2 linked regions of the Notamacropus eugenii genome follow. The protein of the gene in region 1 purifies or fractionates together with the protein of each later gene. This does not show direct contact. Links are inferred from orthologs where the notes say so. Each region holds a gene or a part of one and is shown in the gene's direction. Other genes may lie near its edges.

The links. The genes of interacting proteins can lie anywhere in the genome.
Region 2: the proteins of tumor necrosis factor receptor superfamily member 10A-like (region 1) and CFLAR purify together in Homo sapiens (affinity purification with western blotting; 5 studies listed by BioGRID and IntAct, with this or other methods). This does not show direct contact. The link is inferred for Notamacropus eugenii from reciprocal best matches to the Homo sapiens genes TNFRSF10A and CFLAR.

Annotation. Positions count from the first base shown.
Region 1 is NC_092872.1:611,393,714-611,401,800, forward strand, and holds the start of tumor necrosis factor receptor superfamily member 10A-like, read left to right. Parts: upstream 1-5,046; 5' UTR 5,047-5,204; coding exon 5,205-5,264; intron 5,265-8,087. UniProt on the Homo sapiens protein: Receptor for the cytotoxic ligand TNFSF10/TRAIL. The adapter molecule FADD recruits caspase-8 to the activated receptor.
Region 2 is NC_092877.1:297,264,577-297,272,024, forward strand, and holds the start of CFLAR (CASP8 and FADD-like apoptosis regulator), read left to right. Parts: upstream 1-4,386; 5' UTR 4,387-4,854; intron 4,855-7,448. UniProt on the Homo sapiens protein: Apoptosis regulator protein which may function as a crucial link between cell survival and cell death pathways in mammalian cells. Acts as an inhibitor of TNFRSF6 mediated apoptosis.

The DNA of each region.
Region 1 (8,087 bases):
CATTTCAGCAGACATGTTAAACCAGGTTTAGGGTAACTGAGGGGCCTTGGGTCATCAGTGAATTAGGGGGTTGTCTACTCCAAGTATGTGAAGACTTCTCTAGTGGAATAGACAGGTGTGAACAATTTGTTCCAATGGGCCATGACAGTAGTGGAAGCAGGGAATGTGGACCACTTAGACTTTGGTTAGACATTGAAGATACCAAGGTAATCCATTGCATCCCAAGCCATCACTAGTTATATTGACTTTTGTCTTACCACTGTATTCTGATGACTCTGGAAGAAAGAGACCAATGATTTGGTACAATTCTGCTTCACTTAAATCGAATATCTCTGCCAAGTCAAAAGATATCATTCATATCATTTTTACCTGCCTCAAAGTCTTGTGGTAACAAGCAAGTGATGATGCAGCAGGTGTAGATACACTGGGCCCTGTAGTCATTGCCCTGCATATAGGTGGCCCAGGCTAAAGGGTTATCATGCCACTGGACTGAAGCAGCAGTGGGATTTGGCAGCTCACTGGATGTCTGAGCAGCCTTTTCTAAGGACTACACTGCTCACTCAACTCCTGGCATGAAGAAGACATACTTACTAAGTCAGGTGGCGATCCCACCCTGTGGTTGACACACACACACATACACACACACACACACACACACACACACTTTTACAAAAATGATTCCATGTACTATTGGTGCATGAAATGTATGCAAACTTACAGAAAATATGAAATCCAGTAGACCTGAAAGACAAACATGTCTTGTTGTGAGAGAATTGAGCAGTATCATAGCCAAAAAGTAGCCCTGAGTGAAACAAATCTGGCAAATGAAGGCTAGCTTATCCAAGTTGGAGCCAGATTCATGTTTTTCTGGAGTGGCCATAGTGGAGGTGGCATAGGTTTCAGTATCAAATCTAATCTAATCTAATGCAATCTAGTCAATAAGCTTGTATGCATCCCAAAAGGAGTAAACAACAGGCTCATGACAATGTGATTGCCATTTGCAAGAAAGTGCCATACCACCTTCATCAGTGTATATGGTTCCACTGCGATGAACCCTTATGTGATCAAAGAAGAATTTTATGAAGACCTAAAGACCCTCATCATCAATGTGCCAAAAGAATACAAGCTTATAATCCTGGGTGACTGTAATGCTAGAGTAGGCTGAGAATACCAGACATGGCAGGGAGTCCTTGGGAAGAATGGAGCTGGACACAGCAACTGCAGTGGTCACTTACTATTGAAGACTTATGCATCTCATGACCATCTCATCATCAACATTATTCCATGTACCTAAACATAATAAAGCTTCATGGATGCATCTTTGGATCAAATATTGGCATTTAATAGATTATCTGGTGCTGATCCTATTCCAAATGAGATGCATAAGGCAAGGAGTCCACTGATGAAAGAAAAGCTGACTGAAATCTTGCAGGTTATATGGCAAGAGGAGGCTATCTCCCAGGAGTTCAAGGAGTTCAGTGCCTCTATTGTTCATCTCCATAAAGGAAAAGGAAATAGGTAGTCCTGTGACAATCCTAGGGAGTTCTCTCTCTTAGTTATTGTCAGCAAGATTCTTACTAGAGTCGTCCTTAATAGACTGATCCTTCACCTGGAAGATGGTTACCTACCAGAGAGCCAATGTGGCTTCAGGTGTTTGCTGCCTGACAACTGCAGGACAAATGGGGAGCAGAACAAGGAACTGTATACAACAGTTGTCAATCTGACCAAGGTCTTTGATACAGTCAGTCATGAGGGCTTGTGAAAGATTATGGCAAAATTTGGTGCCTGGACGAGTTCAGAGTTCATCGGTATTGTAATTCAGTTCTATGACTGCATGTTTGCACAGTTTCTGAATAATGGATAATGCTCTCATGCTTTCCTGGTCACCAATGAAGTGAAGCAGGGCTGTGTATATGCTCCCATACTTTTTAGCATGATGTTTTCAGTGATGTTGTCAAATGCCTTCAATTAGGGCAAAAATTCCATAAAGACCAGCTACCACACTGATGATAAATTACTTAACTTGAAAAGGGTACAAGTCAAGACTAAAGAGAAGGAATCATTGGTGTGCGACTTTTTGTTTGCACATGATTGTGCACTGAATGCAGCCTCTGAGGCTGAAATGCAACCAAGTATGGATTGATTCTTGTTGGGGGTGTAAACTCAGTTCCATGTGGACAGTCTCGGGCAGGTAAAAGTGAGGACTTCTAAACCCTAGAGTTCTCATGAGGCCCCCCAGGGAACAGCAGGGAATTGAGGTGTGAGACCGAGCTATCTCGTGCATTTCCGCCTCTTCCTGTGGGAAACGCTGGGAGAGAGCATCCCCCGGATCTGAGCACACCTATTGTTGTCTAACAGGCACGGTATATCAGGTGTAAACTATGCGGCCGGAGAACTTAAGTAGGGTCAGGAAAGCCTGAAGGCTCTTAGCGCTGAGGGGCCCTTAGAGGACAGGAGGCCCCTCTTCCTTCTCTCCTCTCTTCTTTCTTCCCTCTCCCCTCTCTCCCCACTTAAACTTCTGCTTTCATTCTCTTACTGTAAGATCTTTGCCTCCTTGGGAGATTTCCCTCTCTCCTAAGGAAGAGTTCCCCCTGCACATGTAACCAAGACCCTGAATAAAGCCTAACCCTTGTTCGACTCTGGAAAGTCTCTTCTCTCATACGTTTATCCGGTTTGGCCAGCAGAAGACCTGCAATAGGTAAGGTAAGACTCGGGTAGCCCTCAGGCCTCTAGGCCTGGCAGATTCTCTGTTGCTTGTGCTAATTTTGGCCTAACAATTAACACCAAGGAAACACAGGTGGTCTACCAGTCAGCACTGCTCCATTCAAATAGGGAACCAACAGCAAATGGAGAAATTTTGAATGCTGTAGATAAGTTCACTTAGCAGTATACTTTTTAGGGATGTCCACATACATGTGGCTCCACATAGATGAAGAGATTGACACATGCATTGCCAGAGCTAGCTCAGTGTTTGGGAGGCTCAGAAGACAAGTGTGGGAGAGAAGAGATATTAGGCTGCCTACCAAACTGAAGGTCTACAGAGCTATTGGGCTGACTTCATTATTATATGCCTGTGAAACCTGGACAGTCTACCAGCCCTGCGCCAGGAAATGGAATCATTTTCATTTGAATTTTCTTAGGAAGATTCTGAAGATCACCTGGCAAGATATTACCAAGACAATGAGGTCCTTTCTGGAGCTGAACTGCCAATCATTCAAGTCCTACTGTAAGGAGTGCAACTCCAATGGGTTGGCCATGTTGTTTGAATGCCAAATGTAAGTTTGCTTAAATGACTATTTTATGGAAAACTCACACAAAACAAGTGCTCACATGGAGGTCAGAAGAAGTGATACAAGGACATTCTCAAGAAGAACTCTGGAATCTATTGTAAGAATTAGGAGTCTGACACAAATGTCAGTGCTGTGCTCTATGAGCAAAGAATTGCAGTAGTTCAAAGGAAATGTGAGATGCACAAATTTAGAAACATTTCTATTCCATCTCCACTTAAAACTATTTGTGCCTGACATGTAGTAGAGTCTTCCAAGGCTCTTTCAAGCTCCTATTGGTCTGATCTGCCAGTCAGACACATCTTGATTCCAACATAGTGATATCATTTTGGTCCTCCTTGAGAAAGAAGGATACCAATCGTGTGCTGTTTTCTTGGCTTTGTTTTCTTCACATTGCACACTCCCTATATACGACAAACATTTTGTAAGCATAAATACTTCAAGGTTTCAAATCCCTGCACTCCACCCTGGATCGAGTATCTCCCACAGGTCAGATTTTAAACCCTTTGGCTAATTTGCCTCTTGTCTCAGAAAGTGTGTGTTCATCCTTCCTTGCCAAAGAAGACCATGCCATCAGAGAAATAATGACAGGACTTGCACTTGACTTTGCTTTTGAGTGAGGGAGGGCTGTGCAGGTCACCAGTCTCACTTCTCCTCCAGAGCCATCTGAATCCAGTGACCAAATATTCATCAGGATGACTAGAGATGACCCAGGATGAGGCAATTGGGATTGTGACTTGCCCAAGGTCACACAGCTAGTGAATGTCAAATGTCTAGGAGTTGCAGTGGATAAAGCACCAGTGGAGCAGTCAGGAGGACCTGAGCATAGAAAGTAAAACTGTACCTCCTTCAGAATTTAGGCAACAAAATCTTGCTTTACAGCCTAATACTGCCAATTTCATGACAGGATTGGTGAATTAATGATCTTATGTTTGTACAGAACTTTATAATTGCAGAGTGTTTTGACATGTCTTATTGAGGGGTCAGCTTAGTTAAATCAGAGTAACTTTGGCTCTGGTGCCAAAAGAGCTAGGTTCATATCCAGCTTCTGGCCTTGGACCCTTCACTGAATCTCCGTGTGCCTTGGATTTCTCTACTTCTAAAATAAGGGAGTTGGACTTTGAAGTCACTTTGAGCTCTAGATCTGTGATCCTAGGATCTCCTTTCATCCTCATAATCTCCCCGTAAGGTAGTTAGTAGAGGTAATATTAAACATATTTTGTGGATATGGAAATTGATAGGCATAAAATTATTCCAGATAACATTACTGATAAATGGAAAAGTACGAACTCAAATTCCTGTGAGGTCTTCTGGCTCCAAGCCCTGTGTGACAATGCTTTCTCAGCTCATAGTGGAAGAGGATGTGTCTAGGTGCACAAAAGATAGAGCTCTGGACCTAGCGTCGGGAAGATAAGAGCTCAAATCCAGCCTTACGTACTTACTCACAATGTGTTACTGTAAGGGGAAAAAATGAAGTAAAATTTGTAAATTGCTTTGCAAACCTTATAGTGATATATAAATGCTGACCATTATTATTGAAAGAGACACTTTGTCTATAAGAGATTCCTGATAAATATAGAGATCGTAGTTAAAAAAAAAAAATAAAAAGTAAAACTGAAACTCTGCTCTTCTACGAAATTTCCGAGAATTTCTCAGCCTACCTGATCCTCCTTCTTCTTCCCACTCAGACACCTCCTACTTCGGGCGTGGCTTATGTTGTAACGTACTTAAGTTAGAGTCGGACTCGCACCCGAAGTTGATCCCTAGAGGCGAGAGGTTTACTTTGGCGCATCTGAGTCCAGCCGGACGCGGACTGCCCTGCCCTGCCCAGCACAGCACAGCACGAGCGGGTCCTCACTTGCACGGAATAGAACGTGGTCGGACTGGGAGCCCCTGGGAAAGTTTGATCCTAGGGGGATGAGCGACGCCACGGCTACGCTATGCCGTCCTTGGAAGGATCTCACTTTCCTGTGTCTGGTAAGTCAATTAATCCATCCCCCTCTTCCCTTCCTTGTTCTGCCCTCGCGGGACGCGCGTGGGAGAAGGACCGTCGGAATCTGTAAACTGGGCGGAGGGCAAGTCTAGGCATAACGCGCGCTGGGCTCGCCCGGGAGGCTGGTGACGTAGGCAATGGGACCGAAAACCTTGCGCCGTGGTGGGCAGCATGGGGCCGGGAGGGTTGCCAGCCTCGTGACTCCGGGCAGAGACGTGGAGGAGAGCTTCATGAAAAGACCGCTGGGTTTGGAGTCGGTCTGGACAAATGAAAGGGTGAAGCCTACAGCCCGAGATCTTGGATTCTCTAGTGGGAAGGGTGCTCCCCTTAGGTGTTTCCTTTAGGGGATTTTTGAGGAAGTCATCGGCTCCCCAATTTCTAGCTGAGATTTCAGAGCATCTTCACTCACTCTCCTAACTCTTCCGCGCTTCCCATCCCCCACCTCATACCTACTTCCTTATGCCCGCCGCTTTTCATTTCACAGCAGATGAGGGAGGGTGAAAGTGCCCCAGGATTTTCATAGTCTCTTTCACAGAAGAATGACTCATTGGGTGAAAAAAAAAAAGATTCCTGCGAAGACTAGGACATGTGCACCGACCGCAAAATGGCAGTGTGTTCTGCTCCGAGTGCTGAACGGAACACTTGCTGTGCCAGGGGAGAGATAAAGGGGCCAGATTTGGAGCCAACAAGACCTGGATTTAAATCATGATCCCTGACACTTTAATAACTGTGTCTTTAAAATTGGTGAGCCACAATTTCCTCCTCTAAAATGGGGATAATAATACCTGGACCTACTTTAAAGAATTATTTTTTGTTACTGTTATTCTTTTACTGGACCTGTGGTTTCTGATATAAAATTTATTTAAAAATTTATAAAATTACTTCTGAGGAATTTCTTTTATCATTGAAGATCAGCACCTCTGAAATTAACCAACAGGCTTTTATTAAGTGCTTACTGAAAGCCAGTCACTGTGCTAAATCCTGGGGGATGCTGTCTCTGCATTCAAGGAGCTCCCTTTCTAACAGGGGAAACAATGTAAATAATTGTGTATAGATAAAGAATTTATATGTATGTGTACCTTTACACAAAGGACACTTTATGAAGGTAATATGAGAAGGAGGGCAGCTAGGTGGTGCAGTGAGTTGGATAGAAATCAGGACTTCAGATCTGGCCTCAGATACTTACTGGCTGCGTCACGGTCGGGAATTCCCTTAACCCTGTTTGCCTTGGTTTCCTCATCTATAAAATGAGCTGGAGAAGGAAATGGCAAACCACTCCAGAACTTTTGCCAAGAAAACCCCAAATGCAGTCACAAAGAGTCAGACACGACTGAAAACAACTGAACAATACCAAGGACAGAAAAACCTCTGAGAAGAAAAGCACTAGCAGCAGCAGTGATTGGGAAAGGCATTCTGAAGAAGTGGAGGTTTGAGCACTCTTGAAGGAAGCCTGGGAAGCTAGGAGCTGGAGACAAAAAACCGACTGGTGCTGGTTCAAAGGCAGAGAGTTGAGAGATGGCATATTCTAGGAATAGAAATTAGGAGAATGTGTGAAGGGGAGAAAAGTGTAAGAAGAATAGAAAGGTAGGAAGGGACCAGATTCTGAAGGGCTTTACATCCCAAATATATATTTTATCCTGGATATAATCTTTAGCTACTGAGGCAACTAGGTGACACAGTGGATCCTAGGCAAGTCACTTAACCTCTGTTTGCCTCTGTTTCCTCAGTTGTAAAATGGGGATAATAATAGCACCTACTTCCTAGGTTGTTCTAACTATCAAATGAAAGTATTTAAAAGTGTAGTGCCTGGCACAAAATAGGCATTTAATAAATGCTTCCCCTTTCCCCTGACATTCAATTGAGGAAAATCACTTTGAGAGCTGAGTGGAGGATGGATAGAATTCAGAAAGACTTGAAGCAGACAGACCCATTAGAAGACTGCTGTAGTAGCTCCAGGGGAGAGGTGAGAAGGATCTGAACTAGGATGATGGCTGTGTGAATAGAGAGAATGGAACATATGTTGGTGCAAAGAGAGAAATGAAAAGAGATTAGATATGGGGGCCTGTGGGAAAGTGAGGAGTCTTGGTTGATCCTGGGTAGCTGGGGGGATAGACATGGCCTTGACAATAAATAGGAAAGTTGGGGAGAAAGGAGGGTTTTCCTAGTATTACACAGTCAGCATAAATGAGAGGTAGCCCTACAGATCTCCATCCACTAAGCCATGATGCCTCTCTCTGGGTTGATATGAGTTTCAAAGGAGATAATGGATGCAGAGTACCTTGGAAACCTTAGATTGATACACATATTTCAGCTATTATTATTATTAGCTTTATCATCATCATCACCACCACCACCACCATCATCATCTCTACCACCATCCACAATCAAATCCATTTAGTGGTCTTGTTTAGAGGTTCCCAGGAAGGCAACATAATAAAAACAGAACAGAATCAAAAAGGATCCATGCCTTCAAAGAATTTAGTTTATTTTACAATCAGTGATTCAATTATGTCTCATTTTGAAGACCCAAAAGGTCCCCTTTGTGAGTGTCTATAGAACAATTGGGCTGGATTCCATTAATGAGTTCGGGAAGGGAATCAAGTTAGTTAAAAAGTAGAATTCAAATTCCATCTTTGAAAGTTACTGCCTGGGTGACCTTGGGTAAGTGACTCAACCTTCCTGGAGTTTCCTGCTTTGTAAAATGAGGGCATTGAACCACATAGTGTCAAAGGTCCCTTCCAAATCTAAATCTGTGATCCTGCCATCTCAGAACAAAAGGTTTTTAAAGCCGCAGGTAAGCAGACTCT
Region 2 (7,448 bases), on another chromosome or scaffold:
ATTTATATAACATTCATTATGTGCCAGGCACTGTACTGAGTACTTCTACAATTATTATCTAATTTAATCCTCACAAAAACCCTGGGAGGTAGGTGCTATTATTATCCTCACTTTACAGGTGATGAAACTGAGGCGAACAGAAGTTAAGTGACTTGCTCAGGGTCACACAGCTAGTAAATGTCTGGTAAGTCTAAGGCAGGATTTGAATTCACTTGGCTTTAGACCCAGCACTCTACTCACTGATAGTAAAGACTGATAGTCTCTACCCCCTGCCTCTCACCATAAACAAGGAGAACAGGAAAGAACAGAGGAATCAGAGATCAGAGTTAGAATGAAAAATGGGGGTGGAGGGTGGGAATGAAACAGAAAAATAGAGGATGGGAAATGATGAACGGAAAGGAGGATTTCAGAGTTCAAGGTCATAGTGGTGAAATATAAGGTATGACCACTCATTCCTATGGGTTAATGAGGTGGAATAAAGATCTAAGTCATAGGCATTGAGGTATTATGAACAGGGAAGCCATGATGCTGGTAAAGTCCCACCCTGCCATTCAAATTCTTTATCTTTGTCCCTTACATGACATAGGTGGGGACATTTTCCATATGATAGTCACATGCATAGTTGTATGCAACTATGGGGGTTGCCTCTCTAGCAAAACATAAGTTGGAGAGTTGAAGGACGCTGCCTTCTAGTGAGTGGAGTTACTGACCAGTACCACATTCTTGAAAAGAAGAGGATTGTACATGTGGAGCCCTCCGCAGAGAAGGAGTACAGCTATTATGTTGTTCAATCATTGTGTCTGACTCTTCACAACCCCCTTTAGGGCTTTCTTGGCAGAGATACTGGAGTGGTTTGCCATTTCTTTCTCCAGCTCATTTTGTAGATGAGGAAACTGAGGCAAACAGGGTTAAGTGACTTGCCCAGGGTCACACAACTGGTAAGTGTCTGAGGCCAGATTTGGACTCAGGAAGATGATGTCTTCCTAACTCTAGTCACTGCACTCTATCCATTTCATCATTTAGCTGCTCAAAGCTATTATATGGGAGAAGCAAAAGACTTTGCTCTTACGGAGTCAGGAAGACTTGAGTTAAAATCTAGCTTCAGATATGAATACATGACTTTGGACAAGACACTTAACCTCTTTGATCCATAGTCTCCTCATCTGTAAAATGGTGATAATAGCGCCTACCCCTCAGTGTTGGTATGGGGATAAAGTGAGGTTATATTTCTAAAGCCCAGAGAAGTTCATCAGCATTGTATGTCAATTTCACGATGGCATCCTGGTCCGGGTTCTAGATAATGGACAATGCTCTCTTGCCTTCCCAGTCATCAGTGGAGTGAAACAAGGCTGTGTGTTTGCTCCCATGATTTTTAGCATGATGTTTTCAGCCATGTGGTCAAATGCTTTCAATGAGGATGAACATGGCATCAAGGTCAGCTACCACACTGATGGTAAGTTTTTCAATTTGAAAAGGCTACAAGCCAAGACCAAAGTAGAGGGAGTGTTGGTACATGATTTTCTGTTTGTGGATGATTGTGCACTCAATGAAGCCTCTGAAGTAAGATGCAACAAAGTATGGATCAATTCTCTGATGCTGATGCTAATTTTTGCCTAACAATTAACACCAAGAAAACACAGGTGCTCCATCAGCCACCATCACACCATCCATACATGGAACCATTGGCTACAGCAAATGGAGAAGTTTTGAATGCTGTGGATAAGTTCACTTGCCTTGGTAGTGTACTTTCCAGGGATGTATACATTGACAAGGAGGTTGATGCATGCATTGCTGGCGCTAGCTGGGTGTTTGGGAGGCTCCGAAGAAAAGTTTGGGAGAAAAGAGCGATTAGACTGACTACCAAACTGAAGGTCTACAGAGTTGTTGTGCTGACCTCATTGTTGTATGCCTGTGAAACATGGACAGTCTACTAGTGCCATGCCAGGAAACTGAATCACTTCCATTTGAACTGTCTTAGGAAGATTCTGAGGATCACCTGGAAGGATAAGGTACCAGACACTGAAGTCCTTGCTCAAGCTGAACTGTCAAGCATTCAAGTTATGCTTCAGAGAGCAGAACTCCAATGGCCTGGCCACATTGTTTGAATGCAAAATGTACACTTGCCAAAAAAACTGTTTTATGTAGGACTCACACAGGGTAAGCATTCACATGGTGGTCAGAAGAAATGCAAGGTCACACTCAAGGTCTCTCTTAAGAACTTTGGAATTGATTGTATGACTTGGGAGTTGCTGGCACAGGACTACTCAGTATGGCATGCCTACATCAGAGTAGGTGTTGGGCTCTGAACAAAGCAGAATTGAAACAGCTCAAAGGAAACTCAGGATGTACATATTTAGCATCTCCACCTCAAATGTTCATACCGACCATTTGTGCCTGACCTGTGGTAGAGCATTCTGAGATCATATTGGTCTGATCAACCACAGCTGGACACACTGAAACCTGACTCTAGCACAGTGATGTCATTTGGGTCCTCTTTGAGAAGGAAGGTCAACAACAACCATTTCTAAAGCACTTTTGCAAACTGTAAAGAATTATATAAATGTTATTATTTAGTTATGAAGACAGTGCAGATTCAGTAGGAAGGAGAAGGCTTACTTATCTTTTCTAGAGAAGTCTAAATCCTTAGAGACTTGAGCCTTTAGCTGCTCCAAATTCATTTCCCCTCCAGGAGGCAGTCCAAACCACAGACTGATGCCAGAAGTCCAGACAATTGCACATAGGCCATAGGGGGAAAGGTGGAACTCATTGGGAAAAAAAAGAGGAAACAAATCAACTGTTTATGGGCTATTATGAATTCTTTATGTTGTTTTGTACATTCTGTAGGATGGAATAAAGGTTATGTTCCTATGGGATCTGGAAACCTTTTTACTCACATCTGTGTAAACTTATCAATGAGTTGTTTGAGCCATATAATAATAATAGTTAACATTTATGGAGAGCTTGCTTCCTATGCCTTTTTCATAATCAAGGAAGAAGTCAAATTGTGCTGGCCAAATGAAGCAATATCCTGTTTTAACACTGCCCAGCCTCACCAGTGTACTCATGAGTACATTTTCCCAAAATACTGTCTCCCTTTGATTTAGTCACACTTCTGCTTTAATAATGACATGTGGGGAGGGGGAGGGTGTGCTAAACTTTGGCAAACATTTTGGCAAATGTAAGAAGAATCGATATGGGTCTTCTGTTCCTCAAACTAGTGATTTCAGGGTAGGATCACAGGCTCATTATAGCATCATAACAGCACACATTTCTTTAGTACTTTATATATATTGCTCATTGGAGACTTCCTATAACTTCTTTGAAGTAGGTGTTACTATCCTCACTTTTCAGGTGAGCATACTAAGGTTCATTGTTGTTAAGGGTCCAGGATTACACAGCTGGTAAGGATCTGAGGTAGGAAAGAGTCAAACCTAAGTCTTGGATCATAGATTTACAACTGGAAAGGACCTCAGAAACCATCTAATGTAGTCCTCACACACACACACACACACACACACACACACACACACACACACACACACACACACACACACACACACACACACACGGAAAGGAAAGCCCAGAGAAGTAAAGCAACTTGCCCAAAGTCAAACAAGTAGGAAAAGCAGTATTGGAAATAAATTCATTTGAGACTTCAAATAACGACGGTTAAATAGGCCCACATTGCCACATTTCCATTGTTATGGCTCAACACAAAATAGCTTTAACAATACAAAATAAAGAAAGAAAAAGACCCTTTTCATCAACTTGAAGAGGAAAAAAAGGTTAAAAATGGAAAAAAAATTGACCCTTCACAACAAAAGCTTTCCATTAGATCCCAGGTTGAAGGGTGAGAGTGGGTGGGGTATGAAAATGGGGATTAATAATGAGACAGCTCTGCAGGCTTTGCTCATGCATAGATCATTACTTTAGAGTCGGGAAGGAACCCCAAAGACTGTCTAGTCCTCCCCCTCATTTTACAGACAAGAACAAGCAAGGTTAAATGACTCATCTATTAGTCAGAGGTCAGACAGGAATTTGAGCAAAGGTCCTGATTTCACTACCAACCCTGCCCCCTCTGCCCTAGAGTCAGCCCTTTGCTCTTTAACTAGAATGTAGGGGAGAGCAAGTAAGCATGGATCATGCCTGAACCATAAAGGTATCGATGTTTCACGTTACTAGTAGTACTTAGGGCTTCAGGTTATTCCTCTACAAAATGAGCAAAACCTTATAAGCTGCTATGTTCACAGGATCCCAGATTTAGAACTGCAAGGAACCTGAAAGAACGAGTTCAATCTCTTCTTTTTACAGATGGGGAAACTGAGGCCCAGAGGTACCTGCCCAAGGTCAGACATGGAGTAAGCTACACAGAGGTATGTTAAACCTCTAAATGACTCTTCCAGCTCGAAATCCCTATGACTTTAAAAAAAAATTTTTTTATTGATGTCTTTTGAGTTAACATAGAGTAAATTTCCCCCGATTCCTGTAACTTCGAACTAGCTACACTAATTATTAAAACCTAATCACAAGAGACCCCGATTTTGAACTCCAGCAATGGGAGAACTACTGCTGGGCGTGGACAAAACCCTAGATCCGTCACCTCCGAGTCCTCAAGCCTGGGGTTGGTCCTGCCCTCCAGTGCTTGGGCGTGCGGGATAGGAGCTCTTGCCCCGGTGCTAAGTTCGGGATCGTAAGCGGCAAACTGGGTAAAATTCTTGTAAGAAGCTGCAGTCCAAGTTCTGAGGAGTGGGCGCAGTGGGCACTCTGTTGGGCTCACTGTTGGTCAGATAGCTCACTGGTCAGAACCTCACTTTCACTTTAGGATTCTGGAGCTCCGGAGCCGCAGTTTTGAGGGTGAGTTACTTACTCCTACCACCCTTGCCCCTTTTTCTTTAATTTTCCTTTCCTTAATGCTGTGAACATGTCTACTTCTGATCTGTCTTTTAAAGGGGTTTAGGGAGGGGAGGGAGGGCTGCTGGCAGACGGTTCTTATCTGAATCATAGGTGGGTTATTGTGTGTTTGTGTTTAAATCATCATTTTGCCTGACCTTTCCTTGGCAGTGGTCCCAGACCAGCTGCTGGCTGGATCTGGAAGGAAGCACAGACTAGAGACCTGGAAAGAAACGAGACATGGCATCCTTCTCTTGGGAGGTACTGAGGATTTCTTGTCCCGAGAGAAGGAGGAACCCTTTTTTCTGTCCTGATCTTTGTGTCCTTTTTAGACCCACTGAAACTGGGGTTGCCACTCAGTTTACGCCGATCAGAAACTTTAATTTGTTTAACACTGAAACAAGTGGCTAGCACGCAGGAGTCTGTGAAATTCGGCAGTTTCCGTTTCTCACTTTAAATAGTCCTAGAAGAGGCAAGACGTTGGTGTGGTTGTTTTTCCTTCTATTTGAAGAGGACCTTGACTTCCGGGGAATGGGATATCCTAACTTGCAAGTGAATTGGATTTAAAAGAGGCAGGGCTGAACTGTGCCTACGTGGTTTCATTTTCCAAGGACTGCTTATTTTTGAAGTTTTACCCCTCCCTCAAAAGGAAAGGTTTATGTGTAAAGGGAGGAGACTGAGTTTATTTGTGTCCAAGGACTATTCTTTATTGTTTCACAATTGTGTTTCTCAAGGTAGGCATTTTGACAGGGTGTGCCGGTTCATGTTTGCTGAGTGTTCCAAGTTGATCAGTCTGTTTTTCTCTTCAGAGTAAAACATCACAAAGTTGTTACTTTAAAGCTTCCAAGTAATTTTAGTGTTACAGGACTGATAGCTGGAAGGGATCATTAGATCCCTGAGAGATCATTCTGTCTAGTCCAACTCTCCCCAGTCCCTTTTTTTTTTTTACAGATTAGGAAACTGAGTCCTAGAGAGGTTTCCAGGAAGCCTCTAGGGAAGGGAGCTGAAACTTGGGTGACCCTAAACAGGTCCCTTGGCCTTGGGCCTCATTTTATTTATAAAGTGGGGACAATAGTCCCCTTAGGATCCACCTTAAAGATTTGTGAGGAGTGTGCATTTTGTTTGGTTTTTTAAAAATGTATAGTTTGTTTTTTACACTAACAGCCTTTACAACTATAACTTTGTACACCTCTCTCTCCCTCCCCAACCCAATATGCACCTCTCAGAGAGCCATTCCTTATAACAAGAATGGGGAAAGAAGTTCAGCAAAACTAAGCAATATATGGAAAAAGTCTGATGTTATTCTACACAGTGTTCCATACCAGGGTGTCTTCCACCTCTGCAAAGAAGGGAGGGTGCATTTTCTAGTCTCTTCTACAGGCTAAACTTGGTTATTATAATTTCAGGTTGTTTTTTTTTTTTCAGGAGAAAATCATTCTTTTTATAAAACTGAGTTTTTACTTTTTTTTCCTATTTCTCACATTATCATGATATTTCACGTATTCCACCCTATACCCCTTCCTGAAAGCCATCTCATGTGACAAATAGTATTTTTTAAATAGGAAGAAAAGTCAGCAAAACTGTTGTTCAGTCATGTCTGATTCTTCATGACCCCATTTGGGGTTTTCTTGTCAAAGAAAGAGTACTTTGCTATTTCCTTCTCCAACTCATTTTATGGGTGAGGAAACTGGCAAACAGGGTTAAGTGACCTGCCCAGGGTCACACAACTACTAATTATCTGAGGCCATGCTATGATGAGTCTTCCTGATTCCAGGCCTGGGACTGTGACACATACCTGCCCTAGCAAAATTGATGGATAGATTCAAAACGGTCTGAAGAAAATATGTGCAATGTGTAAACCTTCTACCTGCTCAAAGGTGTAGGGTGGAGGTGTCTGCTGCTGTCTCTTCATTTGAGTTCTTTTTGATCTTTATAATTTTGTTACATTTGCTTTTGATTTTCTAGTATGTTTTCAGTGTACATTGTTGTAGCTGTTGTATGCATTGTTTCCTTGGCTCTGCTTACTTCAATCTGCATCATTTCATATAGATCTTTCCTTGCTTCTGTGTATTCATCATACGCATAATTTTTTACAGCACAGCAATAGTTCATTACATTCATGTACCACAATTTGTTTGGCCATTCTCTGATTGATAAGTATCCACTTTGATTTGAATTCTTAGTTATCATAAAAAAAAGTGTTGCTATAAATATTTTGGAGTATAGACAGTTCTCACTTTAGGTAAATGGCAATTTTTACATAATACAAATTTCCCCCCTCTTCCTATGGGGAAGAGAGAAAGACAGGAAGAAGGGGCAAGCACAGGTTTCAGGAGAAGTGAGAGCAAGAGGACGAACAGATGGGGACAGAAACTGAGAGCCACACATAGACTCAGATAGGAGTGGTTGGCAACAGGGGCCAGGAGACAGGGCAACACAGACTGGGACAGATGGGGTACCTCAGCCAGACTGATGAAGATTGATGTGTAGCAGGGCAAAGGTTTCCTCTCTGGTCAGCTGCACTAATAGTGGTGTTCTCTCTGCCCTTCTACTTTTAC